Daphnia pulex: one gene and its partner. The protein of the gene in region 2 interacts with the protein of the main gene of each other region in a pairwise test. Links are inferred from orthologs where the notes say so. Each region holds a gene or a part of one and is shown on either strand. Other genes may lie near its edges.

Evidence for each region. The genes of interacting proteins can lie anywhere in the genome.
Region 1: the proteins of WD repeat and FYVE domain-containing protein 2-like (region 2) and PRA1 family protein 3-like interact in a two-hybrid assay, tested with the Caenorhabditis elegans proteins (2 studies listed by BioGRID). The link is inferred for Daphnia pulex from reciprocal best matches to the Caenorhabditis elegans genes wdfy-2 and praf-3.

Annotation. Positions count from the first base shown.
Region 1 is NC_060026.1:3,444,505-3,450,947, reverse strand, and holds PRA1 family protein 3-like, read right to left. Parts: upstream 4,323-6,443; 5' UTR 4,226-4,322; coding exon 4,026-4,225; intron 3,970-4,025; coding exon 3,752-3,969; intron 3,682-3,751; coding exon 3,539-3,681; 3' UTR 3,136-3,538; downstream 1-3,135. Other genes in the region: N-sulphoglucosamine sulphohydrolase-like, read left to right, coding at 159-312, 701-830, 966-1,102, 1,258-1,411, 1,538-1,733, 1,819-1,861, 1,922-2,041, 2,107-2,483 and 3 more.
Region 2 is NC_060023.1:3,620,028-3,631,548, reverse strand, and holds WD repeat and FYVE domain-containing protein 2-like, read right to left. Parts: upstream 10,134-11,521; 5' UTR 9,960-10,133; intron 9,541-9,959; 5' UTR 9,510-9,540; coding exon 9,340-9,509; intron 9,279-9,339; coding exon 9,137-9,278; intron 9,059-9,136; coding exon 8,853-9,058; intron 8,778-8,852; coding exon 8,493-8,777; intron 8,425-8,492; coding exon 8,319-8,424; intron 8,248-8,318; coding exon 8,157-8,247; intron 8,093-8,156; coding exon 7,851-8,092; intron 7,780-7,850; coding exon 7,732-7,779; 3' UTR 7,355-7,731; downstream 1-7,354. Other genes in the region: nanos homolog 3-like, read right to left, coding at 5,923-6,014, 6,085-6,202, 6,270-6,637, 6,767-6,791; cytochrome b-c1 complex subunit 2, mitochondrial-like, read left to right, coding at 10,288-10,329, 10,400-10,554, 10,609-10,800, 10,865-10,979, 11,041-11,416, 11,484-11,521. UniProt on the Caenorhabditis elegans protein: Plays a role in coelomocyte endocytosis.

The DNA of each region.
Region 1 (6,443 bases), on a different chromosome or scaffold from region 2:
GTCGGTTGTTTTCTACTTTGGGTCGGCGGGATTGATGTGGCGACAAGCGCTCCCCCTATTTCAAAAATGTAGCCTAGACTCCGACGACTAGAATTAGTGTCAAACCAGTTGGCAAAAAGTCTGGCGCCCTGGCACGTTAGATCCCAACCGCCCGTCTTATGATGATGATGGATGGCAGTCTCTGCAGGCCTGGAATTAATCGTTTTTTATATTTTTCTTGGATGTTGTTACTTCTAATTATTTCCCTGCTAAGCTGTCAGCTTGGAGCCTCCGCTGCTTTATCGCAGGCCCGTAACGTGCTTTTGATCATCGGTAAGTGTTGGCACAATTTGTGTATTCTTTTTCCCACAATATTTGTAAAAATTACAATAAAAACAACTTGCTGGTTTCTCGCATAGAGCATTTCTATTCGGTAGAAATGGTCGTTTTCTTCCAAACTATAATCTCTCAAGGGGGGTGGGTTGCAAGGAACCAAGGAAAGTGTTCGTTATTATCTATAGCGCTAAAACAAACTTTGTTCTTGTTACACGTCCTTGGTTCGTCGAGTTTTTTTTGGGGGGGGGGGGGGTAGAAAATAAAGAGTGGGGTTGTAACTGATAACAATAAAAGAGACTTTGTAACTATGTTTCTTTGGCAATACTCAATCTCTGTTGTATCCGCCATATTGAAAAAAAAAATGTGGGGTGGAAAAAACAAAAAGCTGATGATGGCGGATTTGAAATGGGCGTTTACGGAAATAACCGGTGCCAAACGCCCCATTTGGATGCGCTGGCCGCCCAAAGTTTGGTGTTCTCCCGAGCACGGACTTCGGTGAGTAGTTGCTCTCCCAGGTCAGTGCTGTGTGTTATCTATAAAAAGTACTTTTCTGACTTTTCTTCGCCCATATAAAAATAACGTTCGTATATATACCCCACCACGTCCCATGTACACAACAACAACACACACACCTAAAATGGGCGAAACAGTCGGGCTGCTTTGTTGACTGGACTTCCGAGTCATGAAAATGGATTATACGGACTGCACCACGACGTCCATCATTACAACTCTTTCGAGAATGTTCGGTCACTTCCGACAATCCTTCGGGAGAACGGAGTTCGTACTGGTATATATATCTATATCCTATATAACTAATACCACTGCATAGCACTACACAACATAATTTTTCAAAGAAAAGATTCCGCTAGAAAGAAAAATAAAAGTCTTATCTTCTTTTATGGGTTTGGCATGACAACTCAACTGCTGCGCTACATTATTCAGGCATTATAGGGAAGAAGCATGTCGGTCCCGGATCAGCCTACACTTTCGATTACGAGCAGACGGAAGAGAATAATTCCATCATGCAGGTTGGCCGGAATATAACCCGAATTAAGTTGCTCGTCAGGGAATTCCTCGAGCAGCAAAATGAGACCCAGTGAGTCGCGATCTGTCCCTTCTCGTTTTAATCTTCGCTCTAATTGGCTGATTCAAACTGACTGATCCTATTACAAGTCTTCAAGTTTTATCTGGTAATTTATTAACGCCATTTTCTACTGCGCAGGCCTTTCCTCCTCTATGTGGCCTTCCACGATCCTCACAGGTGTGATCACAAGAATCCATTTTACGGCCATTTCTGCGACAAGTTTGGCAATGGAGAGCCTGGCTACGGTCACATTGCAGACTGGAAGCCGATTCGATACAAACCGGAAGATGTCTTACTGCCTTATTTCGTTCCTAACACTGCGGCGGCTCGAGAGGTTGATTAATTATTCTGAAATTCAATTAATCGACTTCAGTTTCTTTCAATAGTAGGCTAAATTGATTTTATTACAAAATAATTAGGACATAGCGTCGCAGTACACAACAATTTCGAGACTTGATCAAGGTTTTAATGAATGGAGTAGTATAAATGAATGAAGCGATGAGATGACATTAATATTTACAGGTGTCGGCCTGGTGCTTGACGAGCTCCGAAAAGCCGGCAAGGCTGACGACACTTTGATCATCTTTTCGTCGGATAACGGGATCTCATTTCCCAATGGCAGGACTAACATGTACGAACCGGGTATATAAATTCAAGTCAAATGGATTTTATTTTACTTCAGGATATCGTCTATTTCCATTTTCTAGGATTGGCCGTTCCAATGTTCATCAAGTCTCCAGACGACGAGTCAAGACGAGGTGAAATGACGGACATCCAAGCCAATTTACTGGATATAGTACCCACCGTTTTGGACTGGTTTGAAATCGATTATCCCAAATATCATATTCTGAAACCAAATCAACCGATCCGCCTCACCGGAAAGTCACTTTTGCCACTTTTGAGTGGCGAAAACGGTATGAAAAGTGACACATTCTACGGCAGTCACGTAACGCACGAGATAACAATGAATTACCCAATGAGAACCATCATCCAAGAAGAGCGCTACAAATTAATACACAATTTAAATGCGCCCGGTACTCCGTTTCCCATCGACCAGGATTTTTACTTATCGCCAACATTCCTGGTACTACACATGTCGATGCGTAGTGCAAAAAAGCTTTTTCCACATTTGACTATTCAGTAACGAGAAACTCTTTCAGGACATGCTAAATCGAACACTGAATGGGCGCCCTCTACGCTGGATCAAAGAGCTGAAAGATTACTATTTTCGCGAGGAATGGGAAATGTTTGATCTCAAAACGGACCCGAAAGAATGCGTAAATGTACATCGCAAAAAGAAATACAAGGTACGTTACAAAAGAGGTATACATGCAAAGTCGGAGGAATAAAAGAGCCTCTCGCTATTCAATCGACTTTTGAAATCTTTGACTTGATTTAGGAGAAGTTCTTCGAACTGAAGGAAAAGCTGTTTCAGTGGCAAAAATCTACTTACGATCCATGGTAGTACAAGGACTTGTGTGATAAAACATTTTGTGAGATTATTTATTTATTTTTTTTTGTCTAAGGTTATGTGCTCCACATGGAGTACTTTTGGAGAATGCGGAAGGCCCTTTCTGTGCACCGCTGCACAATCGGAAGTACTTCAAAGAACTTTAAAGCGAGCACTTCCTCGAGGTTTTATGAGTGATATTATAACTACTACCATTAGTCGATAAATCCTGATGTCAATTTTCAAAGCAAGCGCAATAAAGTTTGAATCGGAAAATAACAAAGTTGCAGACCAGTGTTTTTATTCCAATTAAAGTGATATTTATTTTTTATGTCCACATTAATGCTTAAGAGATTCAAAAAAAAAAAGAAAAGAAACCAAGAAGCCTATTTGACAAATATAACCAACTATTCCGAGAAATTGTACGGTAGTTGTTGAAGTGAAGAAATATTTTAAAATCAATTATCAATTTGGTAATTACTTGAATGAATTCTGTGACTGCCTATTCACATGACATTCCAGATTGTTGGTTTGTCATAGAGTGCTCACTTTGGCTAAGCATTATTATTAGAAAGGAACACAACCCCAGATTAATAGCTACTCAACACAAGTTGAACTGAAATTATATCACACATGATTCTAACTTGTGGTGACTAGCGAATGCCAAGTTTGCTTGCAATAGAATTCAGTCAATCAACAATTCCAGCTTCAAAACCCAATGCATCCAGAAGCATCCCCATGGGTGTGGACTTCTTCAGTCCTATCTGCTCCATTTTGTTGGTCACTTTATTACGTAGACTACGAAGGCGCAGAGACGAATGTATAAATGTGGCTAACAAACAAAGAGTTTTAGCATAATTTTGAATTGATTTTAATAATTGTCAATAGGCCTGAAGACTTACCAGAAAATGGGAGCAAAATTCCCAAAAGAAATACCAAATTTCCTTCAAGAAGATAAATAATCAAATAAGCTCCAAGAAGAATGGAAATTATGCTGACTACAGGGTGTTCCTGCTTGAATTTTGCAACTTGAGGACCACCATTACTAGCTGCAGCGAAGAGTCCACATGCCAACCCAATAGCAAATAATCCCAAAACCATCTTGAAGGGATGAATAAGCCTGTAAGAATATTAACTATTAATAACATTTAAACATTTAAATTTTAATAATGTTACCCAACAAGAGCAAAGAGAGCTAGAGCAAGTAGAAAGTAGTTTGATTGGTAATAAATAAGGTTGCTGTACACTCTTTTCCCCCATTTTTCCATATCACGGAAATTTGGCACTTGAAATCTCGCTGATTCTAATAAAAAATCATCTGAACTTCTTAATGGGGCCACTTCAAATGCACCATTTTCTTTTGAAGGCGTAGCCATTTTCTTCAATGTGTAATGTTTTCGTTAGATGAGCAGAAGACTATCTGATGGCTCATCAACACATCACTACTACTGTTCACTTCCCCATCTGAAATCCAGGGTGGCGCTAATAATATGTTTATTTTTTTCCATTTCCGTGCTTCAAATTTAAATACAAAAATTCAACCACAATTTCAATTTAAACACTTCCCGCTATAGTTGCGCACTTCTCTTTGCATCCAAGTTACAATACTTAATTTGAATTAAAAAAAAACGAATTAAAACATATTTTTTGGTACGAACTGGCCAAATGTGGGTTCGTACAGTACGAACCCACTTGGCCACTTCTATCTTTCTATGTTAAAAACTCATGTGTTGAGCTTGAGCGTTACTCTAGTTTGAAAATAATTTATTGGTTGCGCTTTCAATAAAAGTTCTGATCTTCCGTGAAACGAGTGTGTGATACTTGGACAGTCACGCATTTCATAAATTTCTTTCAACATTATCTGGCGTTATATAAAAGAAATATGAAGCTCTTTTTTCTTAATGTAAGGTTCGGACTGTCAAATGAACAAAATCCACACAAGTTCCCTTTTATTCAGTTTGTCACTGTCTCAAACTTTGGATTTTGATATCGAACATGCACGTAGAATAAAATATCATGTATTTATTATTCTTCTTTCATAAAAAAATGAATGACAAAAGTTAGTTTGCTGTGAGGATAAGGAGAATAAGTCCGCTTTCGAACAAGGAAACGGGGATTGTTTAACTTTCTGATAGACTAGTAGTAAAGCACATAATGTAACCATTTTTAATTAAAGAGTTTCGTTCCCGGAAACAACTAAGCTCGTCAGTGTTCCTCAATCTTCTTCGTATACGTACTTAATAGTTTTTCTCTATTATTCATTGATGTATTACATTTTTTCATAAACTAGGACGGACGGCTAAATTTAAACGAATGCGGGTCAAAATTAACAGCATTTTTGCTACTTCTAGATATCGCTCCTATTTATTTTTCGAAATAAAAAGCTTCTAATTTGGCTTTCCATAGATCAAAGATACTGTAGTACTTGCGAAGTTGCAGCGAATATCGGGAAATGACTACGATAGTGGAAAATGAGGTACGGTAAGATAAAGTCCAATTAGAAACCGGAAGTATTTTTTTTTATTATTTTGAATCGTTTGCACTTTTGCTTTGGCTGTTTTCGGGGTTCTTTTTTCAGACAAATTTTTTGTGTACGTATTTCTTTTTATGAAATTTAAATTAACAAAATACTATACGACGATATTTATAAAAGTTTAAGAGGAAAGGGGATTAAATTAATTAAATTTTCCTATTATAACATGCGTTGAAAAGAAAGATCTTCTCTTATGAAAATGTAACTTACGTTGCAATACGTAATATAAATTGTGTTGTTGCAAAGCCTATGTTTAGAAGTAGAACATACCCAAACTCTCCGTACTGCTACTATGCGCTACTATGCTACTGCTGGTATGCCCGTCTTCCAGTTCTGTATGTACTGTTAACTGTTCATGTTTTTAGTGAAGAAAGATTCCTGGGTATATTTAACAGAGAGGAAGATCTCACATCAGTCAGACCAGTTGAGTGGGAATGACATTTCGACTGAAACATTAAAAAAATTGACAAAGTAATTAAATGTAGCACTCTTGAATCAAATTCCATTTCTACTATTTTATGACGACCTATTCTGTCAAATTAAAATTTGAACTAGCAACGACGCAAAGAATTTGAATTGCCAATGATCATTTCAGAACCGAAGTAGTTCTGTTCGCATTTACACGTCACGTAACATCATTTAAAAAAAAAATTCTTGTTGTTTTCGCTTGGATGGCCATCTAGTGAGACAATCTACAATTAAAAGATACGAAACCTATAAAGAAAACGAAACCTGTTCAGAAAAAAATATAAAAACCAAAACAAGAAAATCGCAAGAAATAACCAGTGTTTTCAAATTTTTAATTTCTCACTCTAGCTTCAATTATTAGCACATTATCAACATTCGCGGCACAAACCGCGGTAGTAGCAGGGGTAGAACATTTTGAAGTTTCGAAAAAAAAAAATAATAATAAAGAAACGAATCCAGTCACCTTTCCAACAATCTCGACCTCGTCTGCGCCTTATCTTCATAGGATTTCCCCTACAAAAATCCTTAAGAAGTAAGAAAGAATTCCGAATGGGAAAAATAGAAATTAAAAATCATTAAGTGAAGAGTGGAAA
Region 2 (11,521 bases):
CATGTGGACAAGTTTTTGAATGTTTTCTTTTCTATACTTCAGTTCAATTTTTAAAATTTGTTTGCTAAGCTACCGCCGTTCCGGTTCGGTACGCATAGCGACATACATAGAGAATAGGAAAAATGGCTGGAAATCTAGGTAAATTTAAATTTTATTTAGGATTCATTGCTCATGTCTGTAATAATCTCCATTTTGTGTTGAATATTTAACGCTACTAGGTAAAGTTTTAGGCAAAAACATAAAAAACTTTATTCCACTCTGTTTAGTACGTAGTTTTATCACGTAGTAAAGTGTTCCTTATTTCCAGGAAACGAACGTACATGCTACACATGCGGTGAAGTTGGACATTTGCATCGAGAGTGTCCCAACCTCAAGTCCTTGCCTTGCCGTCATTGTTTCCCGATGGGGCACCGTTGGCGACATTGCGACACCCGTTGTTTCTGGGAGGAGATGTGACTCAGCTCCGATGACAAGTCAGAGTTCTTCAGGCTGTCTTTGATCGGTGAGTAGCCATTTCTATGAATTAAGAGGCCCACTTTAAACAAAGTTTTTTTTTTAATATCAGAAAACTCCGGTTTGGTGTTGACGAGTTGAAGATGAGTTTGATCAATTTGAAATAAATCTAATACTCAATCCATTCTTCAAACTCATTTCCAATTCTTAACAGATGTCACTCTTGAGAATTTGGTCGATTTCTCCCTTAAAGCCAACGAAGCAAAACGCGGAGCTCTCTACAGCAGCGTAACAAAGCAAAAGTTGCCCATTTGGCTTGCCATGCTGCACCATTTCAAGAACGTTGCGGAAGGTAGGGAACAGCATCCGCAATACGTTTGATATTCAGTTTTCCCTCTTCCCCGTTAACAGCAACAGTATGTGGTTTTAAAAAACAACAGATATTCATAATGGGAATGCCTAATCCATTTTTCATTTTGAATAGGTACCTACCCGATCTTCGCGAGACTTTTAGGCCATTTCTGCATCGCCCAGATGAAATTTTACCTGGAATTAAAGTTCCTCAAATCTTCCTCGGTCAGCTGGGTAGTTTCTACTGCTGGCACGTGGAGGATTTGTACCTCTTCAGCATCAACAAACTTCACTTTGGCAAACCCGGCCTATAAATAATTCACGTTTTATTTCAACCGTGTTAATAGGAGCAGCCAAATTAAAATTTTGGAACACCCAATTTGTTAGCAAAACCATAAGAAAATGGATTAAGCTCCACCGATGAGTCTGATGGATGGAAGGAGGTAGCTGAGGGAGGCCATGCAAATCCTGCCACGCGTAAAAGATTTTTATCTCCCTCTCCTTGAAAAAGATACCTTACGCTCCAATGTAAAGGTTCACTCGGTTTTCTTCATCCTAATGTTTCTTCATGATGTACAGTACCTACCAACGAAAAGTTGTACACTGTACCAATTTCGGCCGCATTTAACACGGCGTCTTATGGCGCTACGTGTCACTCGTTTTTATTTAATATAAAAAAAACATTTGTTTTTTAGTGTAAGGTTGAAACTAAATTATGAACAGGATGTGGGGATCGGCTTTTTGTTATTTTCAATCCCTTTACTCCTGTACATGGGATCACCTGTACCAATTTCGCCGAGCGAAAATTTTATCGTTCGCCGTGCATTCGTAATGGCGCTACGAAAAAAAGGGCCCTATTTTCTAAATTTTTTTAAAAATCGCCCTTTACAGTTGCAACCCTCTAGTTTTCACCAATAAGTTGGTTGTGTTATCCAAACCTTGTAACAAACAATGACACGGAAATTTCATGATTGATTAGTCGACAAACCAAATGTAAACTTTGATTGCTGTATATCTTACTCGTGTTACAAATACAGTGTTTTATTTGGGCAGATTGAATTTGTAATAGAATTATCTAAAAATGAAAAGTGTTAAAGTTGAATATTACAAAGTAAACTAGAAATAATGTAGAGAAATGCTAAGTATGAATATATGAACATAGCTAAGAAAATTTTTGTCGACAACTTCTGACCACTGACCATTTCTGAGGAAAATACTTCAAGTTTTACGTCGGTTTCAAGGAAAACTAAATAAAAAGAAGACAACAAATTGAGAAGCTGGAAAAAGAAATTGCAGGCAATAGGGCCTAAAAAATCCCAAAAGCAAAAAAAAATATTCCAGAAGAAAAAAGGAAAAAAGTCTGAAACAAGGAACCCATTTAAAGAATTGGTAAAAATGTTGGAAGAATGGCTAGAACAAGAAAAACAGAAAGAAAAACAGAAAGCCATCGAAGAAAAAAGGAAAAGGACAAACTGAAAGCTGTCGAGGAAAGGAAGAAAGTTATGGAGAACCAGGAAGATGAGGAAGAAGTAGACGAACTAGAGCATGCATTCTCCGACTCATTCCTTGAGTCGGATGAATAAGATTCAGATGCAACAGCAGTAGCGCAACCTCCTAGTTTTATTCGTCAAATTTAAAACGTAAGCTAATTTTTTTATTAGTTCTAACGCCCTATCTCTTACCCGAAGGAAAAGGAAAAAAAAGATGACATCAAATCAAAGAACTTGAAAAATCCCTTTCAGATACAAACCTGGAATCAGATAGCGAGGACCCTGATCAAACATGACTGTTGCCCAAACACCCAATTTTTCAAGACAAAAAAAATCGTTACTAGTCCCAAGTAAAAATGGAAAATGTTCACGTTAGCAGAGTGAAACTGAAGAAAGAGGTACAAAAAATCCCTAATTTCCTTCTTCAATGAGCTCTTCCCTAAAATAAAGGCTGGGAGGGCAAAAGGAAAATTTCCACACAATTCGATATATCTTGAATCTTAATCAATAAATTCGGAAAGGTTGTTTTAGTCCTTATCCTTATCCTTATCCTTATACTGCTTAATTTTATTGGAAAAGTATTCAAGTTTGTCTTATTCTAATCTTACACAGATGGATTCAAATGCACAACCAGTCTCCTGAAAAGAAGAAAGTTGTCTGGAAGGACTGGGTGTTCAGCCAAAGATTAATCGAAGAAGTTCAGAATGCTGCGACTAACTTGTCATCTCAATGTTACCCATTTGGGAAATTGGTCGCCCCCCTTCATGGTGTGGAGGACTGGATCATTGGGCATGGGTACCCAGATTTTGTCTTTGCTGAAGATGAACTACGTGAAATGATATTCACTGAAACCATGTAAAGTTGATGCATGTATTTTATGTTAACTTGGATGGAAACTAATCTAAACAATTCAATTTCAGAAATGCTAATATGACCCTATCGCACTATGCCAGTGTTGCATTGGAAAGACTCAAAATTTGCTTGCAATTAAGAAATATATATCGGGTTTGGTTTTTGTTCCGTAGTGTTCGAAGGTTGTGTTATTATGTGTTGTGCATGTTTATACAGATAGTGTTCTTAATTGTATTTTTAACGTTCGACAAGTTTCAACTATTGCCAGCAATCTAGGTGATTCCGATAAGTTAAGATAAGTTGCGGAGCTATCACTTACTGAGTGTGACTGCCGTTACATTCTGCCTGAATGTTTACGGGAATATGTTCCAAGCAGGGCTGCCAATTTTTGAGAAGGGGTTTCCAGAGAACGTTGCCAGTCTAGGCATGGTGTATTAGTATGGTGGGGGAACTTATGGTTGGAATTGGCTATCTCGGCTGAAGCCAGTAGTCGGACCTGCTGATCAGCGCTGCCTTGTGGACATTTGGGTGATTAGGGTGAACTATGAGCTTAAGCCCCAACCCCTGAATGCACATTGCTTGTGTACTTATAAAGCTATAAAAGCGAAATAAAAGAGTCAATCACAGTAAGTAAGTATTATTTTTCCAGCTTAAATTATTTAAAAGGCCTGTCATTCCCGTTTTTTAAGTTGAAAAACGTCAATTTTGAGAAAAAAAAATTTTGTTGTACTTTTAAAATTAAGAAATAATACTTTCAACTTAAGCTACGAGTTTCAAATTTAGACCACACATTGACAAAGTTCTCGTTTACATTTTCACTTATTTTTTTGAACCTACGTCAGTTTTAACTTAACCTTTTATCACATCAAATTTGCTCATTTTTTAACTTTTTAAATTTCGCGCCACCAGGTGGTGCAACCTTTGATTTTGTCGCGCTTGGTCTTAAAAAATAGTTTATCCTTATGAGAACATGTTCTGATAGATAAATGAGCCAATAATCGCATTCCAATATGCTAAAAAAAATGTAATGATTATATGGTCAAGCGGACTTTTTAAAAAATCGAACGTTCGCGCCAGGCGAACGCGCCATTTTTTTTCAAAATCCTTCGAAGAAATTTTTTTTTTATTCATATGAATCGAAAAAGCCTATAGTGGCGATCAAATCCGTGAGATGGTCGCTACAGGTTTTGGTCGTTTTCATATGGAATCACCCCTTTATAAAATGCAGCGAACTTTTCAAATGGCAATGTCAGTAGAAGGTTAATTCACGTAAAATGTATTTATGCGCTAATTCAGAACGATTCAGAATTTTACTAGATGGTCGCAATTACTGAAGTCGGATGATACCAGCACCTCGCCCCAACTTTATTACGCCGTAGGGCTATGCATATTTATAATGCGAATGAATAAAAGCTACATATAAACCGGTGTTTTATAACGATCTTTGGTCTACCGTAAACATCAAGCCGATGAAGCCGACGCTGTAATTATATTCTTTCTACTTTTTGGGGGAAAAGATTTCAAGGACCTATATTGCTGTGCTCGGATTTCTCTTATTTAAATGTCTCACCGTCATTTTACATTTTTTTTCCCGATGCTGCAAATCGGGTCAAAAAGTTCAAATTCAATTCAGTTCTCCTGGAGAAATTAAACTTTTTTTTTAAAAATTTCCATCCGAATATAACAGGCGTATTCGTGAAAATTGTATGTGTAATAGGTTTTATTCGTCAGCGTACATTTAAAATCTGTGAAATATAATTTGGGAAATTAACTGCTTGAGTACTTATATATAGTATATTAGCCTAAGCCTGCGTTATTGCAATCTTCCTACACGAACCATGACCCATCTAAGTGTGATGCAATACTCCAACTATGCTGTGGTATAGATCCAAGGTACATATATTATATACAATTAGAAAGGAGAGTGAGAATAATCGGAGTTGTGTGTCTCCCGTTATCATCAAGTTAGCTATATATAGAGAGAGAGAGTCTACACCATCAATTGAAAAAGAGATGAGGTCTTTGTCTAACACAATCTAGTCATACACCACCAAGAAGAAGAAGAAGAAAAAAGGAGGAAAGGATGCGCTCGACGTGATGCAATGATGACGCAACAGCGAACACAAACGCAAGTGAAAAAAAAGAGGGAAAGTAAAATAGGCCTAGTGTACAAGATAATGTTGGAGCAGAGAGAGAGAGAGACACAGCAATAAACCATGGCAAAAGCCCGTGACTGCGTGACTCTCCATCAAGGTTATGGAGAACAAACGTATATAGCAGGTATATACACACAGGAGAGAAAATAACAACACAACAAACAGCACACACATATAGCTGCGAGGTTCATCCTTCGTCTCTTGTTTTCCATGTTCAGACAATTCCCGAACGATTCCAGTCATTGTCAGCAGATAGGCCATGTCTATATGCATAATACTCGATCCTGTCATTCAATTAGATTCGGTGTTACCAAGTGTGTAGTAGACCGAAGAGAGGACAAGATTGCATTGCATCTAATTGTAATCTATTTAAGTACTAATTAATTATTTCCTTTTTCGATCTCTTGCCTCAAAATTCAGCTATTTTTCTTTATTTTCAGATCCATATTTCGATCACATAAAAATTGACAATTAGAAATTAAATCACGATTAAACTCATTACAACTTTTCCAGATTTCATGTGGGGGATGTTAGATACGATCACAAAATGCATATCGCTTAATTTCAGTGCCAAAGAAACAATAAGTTAAATTCCCGGAGTGGTGGAATTGTATTCGGGGTCACATATGAGTCCGTTTACCGGTTGCGTTGTTGCGGGTAGTTTTCAGCAGGATAGCCATGGGCGCTATCTTCCGGCTGCGATTTTCCGGACCTAAGACAATTAGATGAATTAAGTCAGACAAACTGTCGTGAATCATTAACTAAAAATTAAAATGTATTACAATAAAACTTGGTGTGAGCGTTGTCGCCTGTTGCCCCGCACATCTCACAAACGTACTTTCGCAATACTGGACAAATAATAGCACGGGTGATTGGATGGCGTAAGGTGTGGGACTCAACCTTGAAGAATGAAGACATTTTAGTTAGATTTCCAATTTCAGAAATGGTCTACGAAATTTGAACATACCACGCTGCGAATTTCTCCGTTTTTGGCGCAAAATTGACAATTAACTCGAGATTGCTTGTTCGCAGCAGTGGTGGAGTAGATTGACATTTTGGTAGATCCAAGTTTAAATACACTTGGAGGTTTGACACGAGACTCAGTCAACGGCTGCATATTCAGAACTTGATTTAACTCCTTTTCCAGGGAAGACCATTCATCTTCCGAAACCTTACTAACAGGTGGAGCAGTAGGACCAACAGAAGGCTCTACGAAAGTGAAAATGTTGTTATTCAACTGTGGGCTGTCTATGGTGGGAGAAGAAGTGCCATATCCTTCATCCTCCTCAATAGACTGGATAGTTGTTGCTACAGACTTCTTTGTTAATGCTCTGCCTAATAAATAGAACCAAAATCAAAATAGATATTAACTAAAATTCACTAGTAATTAATAGTTAAAAGAATTCAGAGATCGAAAACAAAAATTCGCATTTCGGAAAAGAAAAAAGTAGGTAAAACTTTTACCCGCAAGATACTGATGTCGAATCATTTTTGCTGATTTAAGAATACAAGTCGTGTATGTAAGATGTAACAGTAGACGCTTACTAAATAATAACACTTGGTGACAAACAGAAAATGTTGGACAATTTCACCTAACGACTTGCTCCTTTCGTTTTAAACCTTCGAATGCTGTTTCAGAGTTTTGAATTCTGTGTCTCACAGGTTACCACTACCCTTCTTTCCCACGTTTCCGACCCTCTAGGGACTGAGCCAGTCAACATCTGCGCCAATCAGCGCGAACGAGGAAACTATTTCCCACCCCCTTCACAGGATTCTGTATGTCTACCTCTTTCTCTTCCTCCAACCTTCTCCAAGAATTGCTTTATCACACTATTTTTTAATCACATTTCCAAACTAAATGTCTCAGAACTAAAAATCAAAATTTGCTATTGATTGGCTATGATATTTTTTACGCATTCAAATACATCCACATAACCAGATATTTTACAATTTTCGATAAAATTGTTCAGTATAAGAATTATTTTCACGTTTAAAGTTTACTCGATGACAATTAACATTTATATCAATTTGGCACTCGAAAATATTAATTAATTTATCTTAATTAATGAATTTTATTCGAGTTCAAATTGGATATACATGAAGGGCTTAAGGCGCACATGTTGAGGAGGAGCACAACGGGAGGATGACCGATTTTGCCAAAGAAAATTACTGCAAGCTGCAGATTAGAACATATAGCAAACAAAGAAACAAAGATATTCATCGAAACGAATATTAACTATCCACAAATCTCACCAAAATATAACAGGTGCAGGGGGGGGGGGAGGGGAGAGGGAGGGCACGGTTAGAGAATACAATATCAGACCGCATTGGAATGAAAATTACAAATAGCTGTGAGAACAGGCGGGAAGGGTTTATGACGATGAAATTTAAACGATCACAGCCAAATGATATATATCAGGATATTAAACTCAAGCGTCGTTCTTCAGGAGAGAAGAAACATCCCAGATCTTCATAATCTACATGACAAAGTTCCAATATAAAATCCTTCCCCATCACTAAAAGAAAAGTATAATGGATGAAAACTTACACGATCATGGCCAAGAGTAAGAAGTCGACCGCGCTCTTCGTCCAAATTAAGCCAGAGAATTGAGTGTTTAGCCTCTTGACAAACGGCTAACGATACTCGATTTGCATCGGTGAGACTCTTGTTGCATTCGACACAAACTCGTACCTCATATTCATAACCGATTGCAGGTAAAACGGAGCGATGTGGTGAGCAGTCATCACATACGGCCCTCCCACATTGCCGACAATGATGTTGTCGAAGACCTACGTATAGTCATGCAATTGAAATAATTTAACTTCTACGTTAACTCAGGCATTGAGATCCTACCTAGTTGACGCTGATCGAACATCCCCCTCAAATTCCAAAAGAATGGACGACTGCACCTTTGGCAAGTACTGGACTCGGTCCATTCAGAAGTCTAAATAAAGTATCGAATTTAATAACCCGATACCGTATTGGAAATTTTAAATCATTAAGGCGTTATTCCACCTCTATTCGTTTAGCTTTCATGTTCCATATCCACAACATGGAGTCTTCTCCTCCGGAAACAAGTTTACGGCCAGTGGGAGAAAAACATACAGCCATGACTTTATTCCTAAATATAAAAAATATTAAAATAAAGCAAAACAATGTCAGTCACAAAACGGAAATTATTCTTTATACTTGTGCCCTTGAAGTTCATATGCCGTCCCTTGCTGGCCTCCAATGTCCCAAGCGATGATGCCTTTATCCTCGCTTCCAGAAAACAAAAACTGATGACCAGCATCCCAGGCTAAAGAACGAACTGGACCAGAATGTCCTTTAAAGACGGTGATTTGTTGAACTCCAACAGCCTGCTGTTCAGTTGTGGTATTACTAGTGGCCAAGTCCGGTTGGGGATCCAACTTTAACATGGTAATCTGACCAGAAGCGTCGCCTACAAATACATGGCGGGATGCGAAATCGAATCTATTACAACAGAAAACCATCGACAAAATCAATATATGAATTTCAGAACAAATCTTCTTTAGTCTTTAGATTTACTCCAAACAGTATGCCCACGCTGGACAAATGTGACCACCAAGGCGTCTGCCTGATACTGCGCAATAGTATTGGAACCATTTATCACGACCAACACTAAGTATCCACGAAGGAGTCGGAGCGTGGTGCACTTGGGTCACACGGGCGTGATGTGATAGATAGTCCCGCTTGTGTGTAAGCGAGTTATAATCCTCGGCCAGTACAAATTCCTGTACAATAACAACCAAATAGATGAGACTTTAGATATGCGGAACTTCAATATTCAAGAAATAATTTTAAAATATTACCGAAACTGTGCCGTTTTCTTGACCAACAAATACTCTCCAGACTTTTTTGGTAAAGCAGACAGATGTTGCTCCTGATGGCATGTAATGGCAAATGCTGGGCCAAAACTGGCCGGAATCGCGTTTCAACCAGACTCTTACAGACCTATGAGACAACTTATTTCTTTATGTACATAAATTATAAACAAAATGAAATAGTATAAAACCTGTCATCACAGACAGCCACAACACCATCCTCGCCTGGTAGTATAACAGCTTGATTCACAGTTTCTTCATAGCCCTCAATCTTGTGCAATAGAATAGGTTTCTTCTGGTTCGATCTAGTTGCTGCAGCTGATGTTGCAAGAATAGGAACTGGCTTGATTTCTGCTGCCATAATGATTGTTTCTCATGAACAACCTGACTGACTGAGTAATACATGAATAAAAAGTTTATATATTATTGGTAAAGATTTACATTAAATAATAATGCAAACTATCCATTCCTATTTTTCCAACCAGTGTGTATACCACTTGAGCAGTTGGTTTGGAAATACACCCCTTTTCTGATTATAAATAGAAACAAGGTTTGTGCAGTTTTTACACATTAACGATGATTTAATACCAATAGCTTAACAAGCATAGATTATTATGACTATACATGAAGGAAAAGTGCAATTCAGCTATGACTCAAATACTCAAAATCAATAGTTTGCCATATTAGATCAAGCAGGTGAATAAAATCCAGATGACAGATCAATAAACAACTAACAAGAATATATTAGGACTAGATTGCACTATGTTTAATAATAGTATTGATCTACTTCATAAAATGAATAAATTTTTACATGGACTAGTTGAATCAGAAAAACGGATGATGAATTTTGTAAACAAGTCAATAAGAAGAAACGAAATTGGTAGACAGTAGACACAAACAGACACGATTTTCTTCTTGACAGACGATGTGGTTGCCGAAACGCATTTCGCAATTCAACTCGCCATCTGGCGAAAGGAATATTAAGCTTTAGGACATATTTGTCGAAACTCCTGGTGAGAAAAACTTCATTTCGGTTTGCTGAACCGACTTGTCCGCTAGGTGATAAAAAGTAGAAAATCCGCCATTATTCCTTCTCAGGTCTAAACAATCAGCTGGTTTGGGGTATACCAATCGAAGAAATGGCATCGAAATTTCTAAGTACCCAAACGGTCAAAGCCACTGTAAGTCATTCAACTTTTAAGCAATTTCCTCAGTGAAATGATCAATTGGATAATAACTTCTTTTTAATAGCGTGGCTTCGCTGCACAAGCCGCTGCTAAACCGGCCGCTACGGAATTTTCTCCCGTTCCTCGGGAACCCGTGAAAACTACCACTCTGAGTAATGGGATTGTTGTTACTTCGATTGAAACTAACGCCCCCCTTTCTCGTGTTGGAATCGCTTTCAAGTAAGAAATAGAATTTGTGTGCTTGTTAAAGTGATAAAAAAATTTCTTTTTTAGAGCTGGATCACGGAATGAACCATCAGGAAAAGAAGGAATCATTCATCTTTTGCGAATGACATCCAGCCTAAGTACTAAACAATCAACCCAGTTTTCCCTTACACGTGTAATCAATCAGGCTGGAGCTGCTTTGACCTGCACTTCTGGTCGTGAACATGTTCTCTACTCCGTAGATGCATCTCGCAAACAAATGCAAGTTTTTACAAGTCTATTTTGCTGAGATTTATGTAATGAATAATTTTTTATCATTGCACAGTGATGGAGTTCTGCCTAAACTGGCTGATGCAGCCACTCAACAAGTATTCAAACCTTGGGAGCTGTCTGATAACCTGTACAAGATTAAGCTTGATTTGGCTGCAGTTCAGCCTGAGGTATTGCACATTTATACTTCACCATCATACAGAATGTTAAACCAAATATTTTAATTCTTAGACACAAGTTATTGAACTCCTTCACAAGGTAGCTTTCCGTACAGGACTGGCCAACAGTCTTTTCTGCCCCTCACATTTGGTTGGGAAACATACAACAGAAGTGCTGCAAAGCTTTGTGGCTGCCAATTTGCGTGCAGACAATGCTGCAGTTGTTGGAGTTGGTATTCCTCACGATCGCTTGGTCGCATACGCCCAAAGTTTGGCTCTTAAAGCTGGTCAGTCTTGCTCGGGGGCTCCTTCGAAAGTACACGGAGGAGAAGTACGTGTGGATACGAGCAGTTCTTTAGCATATGTGGCTGTAGCTGCTCCCGGAGCTTCTCTGGCTGACACGAAAGCCATGGTTGCATTTGCTCTTCTTCAGAGAGCATTGGGTGCAGGTAATCATATTCCCCTTCTTCCCACAATTAAAAAGTCTATCAAAATAACTCCTTTGTTACTGTCTAGGAATCCCAGTTAAATATGGTTCTGGAGCAGGATCAAAA